Linked DNA regions of Oryctolagus cuniculus. The main gene of each other region encodes a partner of the protein of the gene in region 2 in a complex. Links are inferred from orthologs where the notes say so. Each region holds a gene or a part of one and is shown on either strand. Other genes may lie near its edges.

Region 1 (4,297 bases), on a different chromosome or scaffold from region 2:
AGGGTTACCCCCGGCATCCGTGGAGTCACCACGGAGCCCCTGTTTCCTGATCTGTGATGAAGGGGAGTCATGGAGTCTGTGCCAGTTATAGACGCAAGGCGACATCAACACGTTTGTGGCGAAATGGAGTTAAAGGACACGCTTACTCTGCGGAAAAAGCTTTGGAAATCCAGGCCTGGCTCTTTCATCCCAGGCGTGGGAGGCCGCCCGTGGTGTCACGGCCCAGCCCATCCCACGAGAGGACAGGGTGAGGGGCCCGTGTCTCCCTGCTCTGTCGGCCTAGCCTGGCCTCTGCATTCAACTGTCTCTGTTGAAACATCCAGGCGGCTTTCTGTGTCCCTGGCCTGGGCCCTGGCAGCGGGGGCAGGGTGAGCGTCCTCCTGGGAGCTGGGATAGGAGCACTTTCCATAAACACAGGCCCCGAGCGCAGCTTCCCCAAGCCCCCAGCCCCAACTCACCGGACACCTCCACGTAGCCGTCCTTGGTTTTCACCATCAGCTCCTCGGGCTTGAAGCTGTGCACATTGACACACACTTTCCAGGGTTCCCCGGGGAATGGTGGAGGGCTCCTGCCCTCGGCGGGCACCCCAAACCTGGCCGCAGCGTTGGGCCCCCGGGGCACTATGCCCGACCTCAGGGTCCCGGGCCACGGGGACGAGAGCCGAGGCAGCGCCCAGTCCGGCCACGAGGCGGTGAGGTCGTCGGCGAAGGGGTCCATGCCAAAGCCATCGTCCAGCAGGCGGGAGGACAGGGACGAGTCCCGGAAGGGGTCTCGGCGCAGGCGGCTCGGGTAGTGGCAGGAGAACGGCATCTGCCCGTCAGCCATGGCGGCTACTGAGCTCAGAGGGGAAACCGAGGCTCAGGGTGAAGGCACCACCTGCCCAAGGTCACGCAGCTGAGCTGGGCTTCCCGGCTTATCTTCAGCTTCAGGAAAATGCCAGTCTTCAGTCAGGGAGAAGCAGGACCATCCACGGCCACGGCGGCTCGTGCACACCAGGCTGGGGTCCCAGCCCCGAAAGGTGCTCCCTGGCTGAGCCCAGTGGAATTCCCCCTACCAGGGACCCGGAGATCAGCAAGCCACGGTCCTCCCGAAGCTGCCCAGGCGCGCAGCCAGAACCACCGAGCTCGAGAGTGGAGCCAGGGGCTTAATAAACTGGGGAACACACGCCTAGAAACTTCTCCTGGCTTCTGGGCTGGGAGCCTGCTATTTATTCGCTGCTGGGGGTTGGGGGTGGAGCCGCAGGCGCCTCCTGTCACCGGAGTATTCGGAGGTGATGAAGCAGCCCCAGAGAATCCGCCTAGGGGACAGCTGGGCTCCGCACCGGCCCGGGGGAGGCTGGGGGAGGCTGGGAGGGGCCTCTCCGGATGTTCTCTCCTCCCAGGCGCGGCGCTCGGCTCCGCCCTCCCGCTGCCTCCCCCGCCCCGCCCCGGCAGGGCTCAGCCGCCTGGCTATTAATAACCCTCTGCCCTGCTGAGGGTTCAGGTCACCCTCTGGAAATACCTTCCCCGAGCCTGTGGCTGCAGGCGTCCCCGTCGGCACCTGCAGAAGGGGAGGAGAGAGGGAGGCCGGATAACCGGTGGGCTTGGAGGCGGATGGCTCTGGGTTGTCTTTGGAATAGAGTGGCAAAGGGAAAGAAAAACAAAACAAAGCTGTGTAAATCTCTACGTAGACTAGGATTCCAGCGGCACTCCAGTGGGGAGGACTTTATGGGGGGGGCGGCTCTGGCGGTAGGTGCAGGGGCCGCATGCTGTGCAGTGGAGGAGAAAGATTGCAGGGCCCCGGAAACACCGGAATCCCAGAGGGAGGATCAAGGAGAGGGCCAGGGGGTGGAACACTGCCGGGAGGAACTTCTAAGTCCAAGGGATTCTGGCTAAACCAACCGGACGAGAGATTCTGGCTTAGAGTCAGGCCAGGCTGGGATCAGATCCCACCTAGGGGGTGGGGTGGGGCTGGAGAAAGGGTTGGGTGTCAAGGGTGGGTCTTGTTGCTTAACTGACTTAGGCGGTTCTTTGCTGAAATCGGATTTTACGAAAAACTGCGCAGATGCACCCAAAAGAAGGCTCAGGAACGTGGCTACGGGTTGGCCAAGCCATGAGCCTGGCAATTGAAGTCTAAAGCATTAGCGTGCCCCTCGGCACCTGTGAGCCGGCTGCTTTCCCACCTGTAAAGTGGGCGCGAGAGCAGCCTGCTCCTGGATGTGTCCGAGGAGCGGCTGGGGCAGGTGATTCTCGCCCAGCGTTTAGGACACCCATCGGCACTTTCGTTCTTCCAGTTTTGTTACCAGTGACGCCAACGCTTGCTCTGTGCCGGCCCCCGTCCCAGGTACTTCGCAAATACTAACTCAATGGATTCTCCGCCCACATTTTGTAAGGCAAGGAAAGTGCCGCAGGCCGTGTTATCGAATGACAGTGTCCCTTAGGATTGCACAATTATTGCAAAGTTCTGTGCCCAGGCAGGACGTCTGCCCTGAGCCCAGGAAGAATTGCATTTTCCAGGCTTCTCCGCGGCTCCTGTGCGGCTGGAAGAACCAATTTACAAACCTTCCTTGGAGGCCGGCGCCGTGGCTCACTAGGCTAATCCTCTGCCTTGCGGCGCCGGCACACCAGGTTCTAGTCCCGGTCGAGGCGCCGGATTCTGTCCCAGTTGCCCCTCTTCCAAACCAGCTCTCTGCTGTGGCCAGGGAGTGCAGTGGAGGATGGCCCAAGTGCTTGGGCCCTGCACCCCATGGGAGACCAGGAGAAGCACCTGGCTCCTGGCTTCGGATCAGCGCGGTGCGCCGGCTGCAGCGGCCATTGGTGGGTGAACCAAAGGCAAAAGGAAGACCTTTCTTTCTGTCTCTCTCTCTCTCACTGTCCACTCTGTCAAAAAAAAAAAAAAAAAATCCTTGGGCTTAAAAACAACAACAAAACCCCCTGGGCTTAGGTTCCTCTTCCTCTTTGATCGGTCCCCAACAGGTGGCAGAGGTCTTTTCCTCTGCCTTCTTCGTGGGGTGGGGGTGTTCAGAAACTCAGTGAGTCACAGGTCGAGAAACGGTTGGATGTTAAGCGGTGTCTGCTTAGGCAGTTTGCTAAAAATAACAATCCATAGACCCATCACCGTGGTTTACTGCCTCCCTGGCCCCGCCGCTGAGGGGAGCGAGGTGTGGGGCGGGTCTGCGGAGTCTGCGTCAGACCCTCCCTCCTGCTTCCTTGTGGTCCATGCCCCCTGCAGACCCTTGCCTCTTACCCTTGGCTGTGGGGCTGCAGGACCTGGGCCAGTGGGACTTGGGTCGCCCTGACTCCCAGCTCTGTCGCTGAGCTGCCGGATCCTAATGGAGACCCCCAGCCTCCTCCCGCAACAAGAAGGGGAGGCAAGCCCCAGGCCGGCGGGCAGCGCTCCGAGTGACTGGGCCCCCACTTGATACGGGGTGAGCTCATCAGCCTAGCAGCTTCAGGCTGACGTCACTGCCTCGGCTCTCTCTGTAATTACAGCTGGGCAGGGCCAGCTGACTTTGAAGCCAGTTATGGGGAGAATTGGGAGTCATCAGCCCTACCAGGGACCTGGGCGAGACTGGGGTGCGGTTTCTGAGTGGGGGGGGTCTGGGTGGGAGTGGCTTGGCATAGAGCAAGGCTGGGAGTGGATTCGGGTGGGAGCAGTGGGAGTGTGAGTGTGTGTTCAGGGTCAGGGCTGTGTTTATGGAAGGGTGGGTCTTCTGGAAATACTGCTTCCCCTCCCCCTCCCTTCTGCAAGCCCCAATGGAAGCTTCCAGAAAGCCCCTCTGCCTAGAACAAGGCACAGCTGGAACGAGGAGAACAGATAAGACGGAAGCCTGGCCAGGGAGCGGGAAGGGAACCGGATGACCTAACCCCCCTCCCCATGTCGAGGCCGCAGGGAGGTGGGTGTTGTGGCACAGTGGGTTAAGCCACGGCCTGTGAAGCTGCTTAGCATCCCACGTGAGCACTGGTTGGAGTCCCAGCTTCTCCATTCCTTATTCAGCTCCTTGCCAATGCACCTGGGAAAGCAGTGGAAGATGGCCCAAGTGTTTGGGTCCCTGCACCCACATGGGAGACCCAGATGGAGCTCCCGCCCCGTGATCCTCCCCTGCTTCCCGGTGTCTGCTCCTGGGGCTCTTGTTACATTTCTGGGTTGGGCTAAGGGACTCGGCTGCTTGTCCTGCTGACCCAGCCCCTTGGCCGGAGGCAGCACAGTCACTTAAACCCCACGGGCTGACAGCCAGGTGACAGTGTGGGCTCAGAGGGACCGGAGAGGAGGCTCCAGGCTGGTTCCACCAGGGCAGGGAAGGCAGGGGGGTAGGTTG
Region 2 (3,804 bases):
GTCCAGAGCTAAAGGAAGACAGTGACCACAGCTGGCGTGGTGCCCATGCAGAGGGCCCCAAAACAAGCAATGGGGTTAAACAAGCAGCTTCTTTCTTCGTACAGAACAAGGCTACAGAAGAGAAGCATCGTCTTCCCTTCAGCCCTTGTATTAGTGTGTTGTGCCTCCACCCAAGTTACTGCGTACCAAGCGGCTACAAATAACAAAAACAAACTGACTGAAAGTCCCTGAAATGCATGCAACTTAAAATCCCCAGAGCACACAACCCAGTCCACGTCTCCAGCCTGACCCCACTCAGCGGAGACTACGCTGTCGCTGGGCTCCCCTGGCTCCCAGCTGGGTCCGTCGTGCCACTGGGGTCTGCAGTGGTTCCTTCTTTGGCTTCTGCCTGCTGGGTTTCAGTCTGGGGGTCTTCATTTCCGGCACTTTTCTTCCCCTTGTCTGCGGCCATCTCCATGATTTCTTGCAGTGGCCGATCAGGTTCAAGGTTGCTGGGCTGGAGTTCATAAACCTGGACTTGACCTGGGACATCGATTGCTTTCTGTTCGAGTTTTTCCAAGATGGTCTGGACCTTCCTGACACCGTCTCTCCTGGCCTGGCGCACATCAGCTCGTCCCTCCGGGTCCACGGAATCCAGGGCCAGCAGCTCTTTGGTCAGATACTCTTCAATCATCAGGTACTTCTTGTCGGTCTTCTTGCCTTCGAAGTTGTCCACAGCCTGCTCCAGCCCTTGCACCTTCTCCAGGATGGCTTCCACCTTCAGCACACCTGGGTGTTTCGGGGGGGCCTCAGCTTCTCCCGGCTTGGGGGCTGGTGCGTCGGCAGGGGTGGGGCTGGGTGCTGCCTTCTCTTCCGCAGCCACATTCTTGGGGGGAGAGGGGACAGCAGCGGGGGCGGGAATGGGAGGAGGACAGGAGACTGGAGCAGAGGGCACCTTTGCCTCCACTTTCTCAGAGGGAGGGGGCGGCTTTGGGGAAGCAGGTTTGGAATCTGCCTCCTTGCGGATCACTTGGATTGGGATGTGTCCGGGAAGGAGATCTGGTCCTGCCGGGCCTGCCTTACTTTCTGGCTTGCTGTCAGGTTGGGGAGCAGGTGGAGATTCTCGCTGGGCCATGGGCGGCTGTGAAAAAGAAGAGAGGACACAAAGGCAGGTTCAACCCCTGGCAGAACGTCCCGGGCGGCTGGGTGCAGCCAGTGCCAGTCAGAAAAATGGGCAATGGCTTTTTTTTAGGTTAATTGAGAGAGTCTAAAGTCAACCAACAGCTGGTACAAAACCAAAATATGCCGTTAATCATGTAGGAAACCAAACCATTTGTTAGGCTTCTGGGAACCACCTTGGGCTGCTTGTGTTACCTCTCATAGAATCTCTCTGTAGACAGTGTTCAAACAGCAGTGAAAAGAAAACCAAGATGATGTTCAAAAATGAAATAGCAAAGCCTCTTGCTGACTGCTGAGCCGACTTTGCTGATAACAGAGTGCTGAGTGGCTCTGACCATCGGGTGAGGCAGCTGGCGCCACAGGCCTGGCCCCCACTCCTTATGCCAAACGCAGCCCACTCATGGGGGAGTGGGGTGCAGGCCTTCTTTTTGTTAAAGCTATGACAGCCTAATAGTTTCAGCCAGGATAGTGGTTCCTGGTGTATTTATTTATTAATTTTTTTCAACAAACAAGATACTCACGGTCGTCAACTCCGTGAGAATTCTGCTTAGGCATACTCATGCCTGAACCTCACACTCAGCAACGCCTCCCATGCTGACTCCGGCTGTGGTCTCTCCTCGAGACTGTCGGCAAGAGCCATTTTTTAAAATGATGAGCTTGGGGCTGGCGCTGTGGCGCAGTGGGTTAACCCCCTGGCCTGAAGTGCTGGCATCCCATATGGGCGCGGGTTTGAGACCCAGCTGCTCCACTTCCGATCCAGCTCTCTCTGCTATGGCCTGGGAAAGCAGTGGAAGATGGCCCAAGTCCTTGGGCCCCTACACCCACATGGGAGACCCGGGGGAAGCGCCTGGCTTCAGATTGGCACAGTTGCAGCAAACTGGGGAGTGAACCAGCGGATGGAAAGCCCTCCTCTGTGCGTGTGTGTGTGTGTGTGTAACTCTTTCAAATAAATATATAAATCTTAAAAATAAATAAAGGAAGGAAAATGATGAGTTATGCTCCGATCAGAAACACCTTGGTTCTTCTAGCATATAAATGAATATCTAAAATCTCCCCTAAGTCTCATGCTCCCTAATCTAATCAACTTGGCAATGAAAGTCAGACTGTACTATTTCTAAAGTACACCCAATTTCTAATATTAAATCCTACCATATGTTATTAGGTCAAATCCTTCAAGGCCTCCAAAAAGGGATCCTGGAACAAAACTCTAGAAAGGTCACCGAGGGGCTGGTGCTCTGGTGCAGTAGGTTAAGCCCCTGCCTGCAGCACCAGCATCCCATACAGGCACTGGTTCGAGTCCCAGCTGCTCTACTTCTGATCCAGCTCCCTAATAGCCTGAGAAAGCAGAAGATGGCCCAAATACTTGGGCCCCTGCACCCACGTGGGAGACCCAGAAGAAGCTCCTGGCTCCTGGTTTCAGATCATTCCAGTTCCAGCCATTGTGGCCACTTGGGCAGTGAACCAGCAGACAGAAGACCTCTCTCTAACTCTGCCTTGCAAATAAAATTTTTTTTTAAAAAGAAAGGTCACCACGAACAAAGCTGATGGCAGTGACAACAGGGTTGAGAACTGTTCACCAATTATGCCGTGAGGATGCCACCACCACTCAGTGGGTGCTCCTGACCTGCAGGAGCCAGTGTGACTCGGCAGTCGCCCCGGAACCTGCTTTTCCATCAGACCTGCTGTGACAGGGCTCGCGATGCGGTACAGCAGGGTAAGCCGCCGCCTACGTCACCGGCGCCCCTTATCAGACTGCCATTTGTGGCCCAGCCTGGCCGCTCTGCTTCCTATCCGGCTCCCTGCTAAGGCAGCTAGGACAGCAGCAGACAATGGGTCTCTGCCACCCGCCTGGGAGACCTGGATGGAGTTCCAGGCTCCTGGCTTGGGTCTGGCCCAATCCCATTTGGGAAGTGAACCGGCAGATAGAAGATCTTTCTCTGTGTCTCCTTCTCGGTCATTTTGCCTTTCAAATAAAAAAAAAATCTTTAAAACAAACAAAAACCAAGACCAAATAAACAAACAAAAGCCTTTTCTATCACTCCAGATATCTCCAACTCCGGTCCTTACTGCTCCTGAGGCAACCCCATGGCCTCTTTGGGTTACACAATAATGGTGTGTAAGAAGCTACTTTAGGGGCCCGCTCTGTGTGTAGTGGGTTAAGTTGCAGCCTGCAGTGCTAGCACTCCATTGGGTGCTGGTTCTATCTGCAGCTGCTCCACTTCAAATCCTGTTTCCTGATAATGCACCTGAGCAAGCAGCAGAGGATGGCCAAGGCTTGGGTCGCTGCACCCATGTGGGAGACCGGAAGAAGCTCCTGGCTCCTGGCTTCAGTCTGACCCAGCTCCAGCCACTGTGGCCATTTGGCAAGTGAACCAGCTGATGGAAGGTCTCTCTGTCTCTCCCTCTAACACTGTCTTTCAAGTAAAATAAGTAAATCTTAAAAAAAAAAAAAAAAAGAAAAGAAAAAAAGTCACTTTAGAAACATGCAGGAGACAGCGTTCTGTGGCCTGCACTCTTCAAATAACATCAAGGTCATGAAAGCAAAGAAGAGCCGAGGAACTGTTCCAGACCGAGAGCCCGCAGGGAAGTGACCTCTAAACGCAGAGCTCATGATCCTGGCCTGCATCCTGGAACACGGAGGACTGC

The links.
Region 1: BAG3 (region 2) and HSPB8 share a complex: the UniProt entries of both Homo sapiens proteins name them as parts of the chaperone-assisted selective autophagy (CASA) complex. The link is inferred for Oryctolagus cuniculus from reciprocal best matches to the Homo sapiens genes BAG3 and HSPB8.

The regions. Positions count from the first base shown.
Region 1 is NC_091452.1:15,305,088-15,309,384, reverse strand, and holds the start of HSPB8 (heat shock protein beta-8), read right to left. Parts: upstream 2,881-4,297; 5' UTR 826-2,880; coding exon 459-825; intron 1-458. UniProt on the Homo sapiens protein: Involved in the chaperone-assisted selective autophagy (CASA), a crucial process for protein quality control, particularly in mechanical strained cells and tissues such as muscle. Displays temperature-dependent chaperone activity.
Region 2 is NC_091446.1:11,045,081-11,048,884, forward strand, and holds part of BAG3 (BAG family molecular chaperone regulator 3), read right to left. Parts: intron 1,121-3,804; coding exon 305-1,120; 3' UTR 1-304. UniProt on the Homo sapiens protein: Co-chaperone and adapter protein that connects different classes of molecular chaperones including heat shock proteins 70 (HSP70s), e.g. HSPA1A/HSP70 or HSPA8/HSC70, and small heat shock proteins (sHSPs), e.g. HSPB8.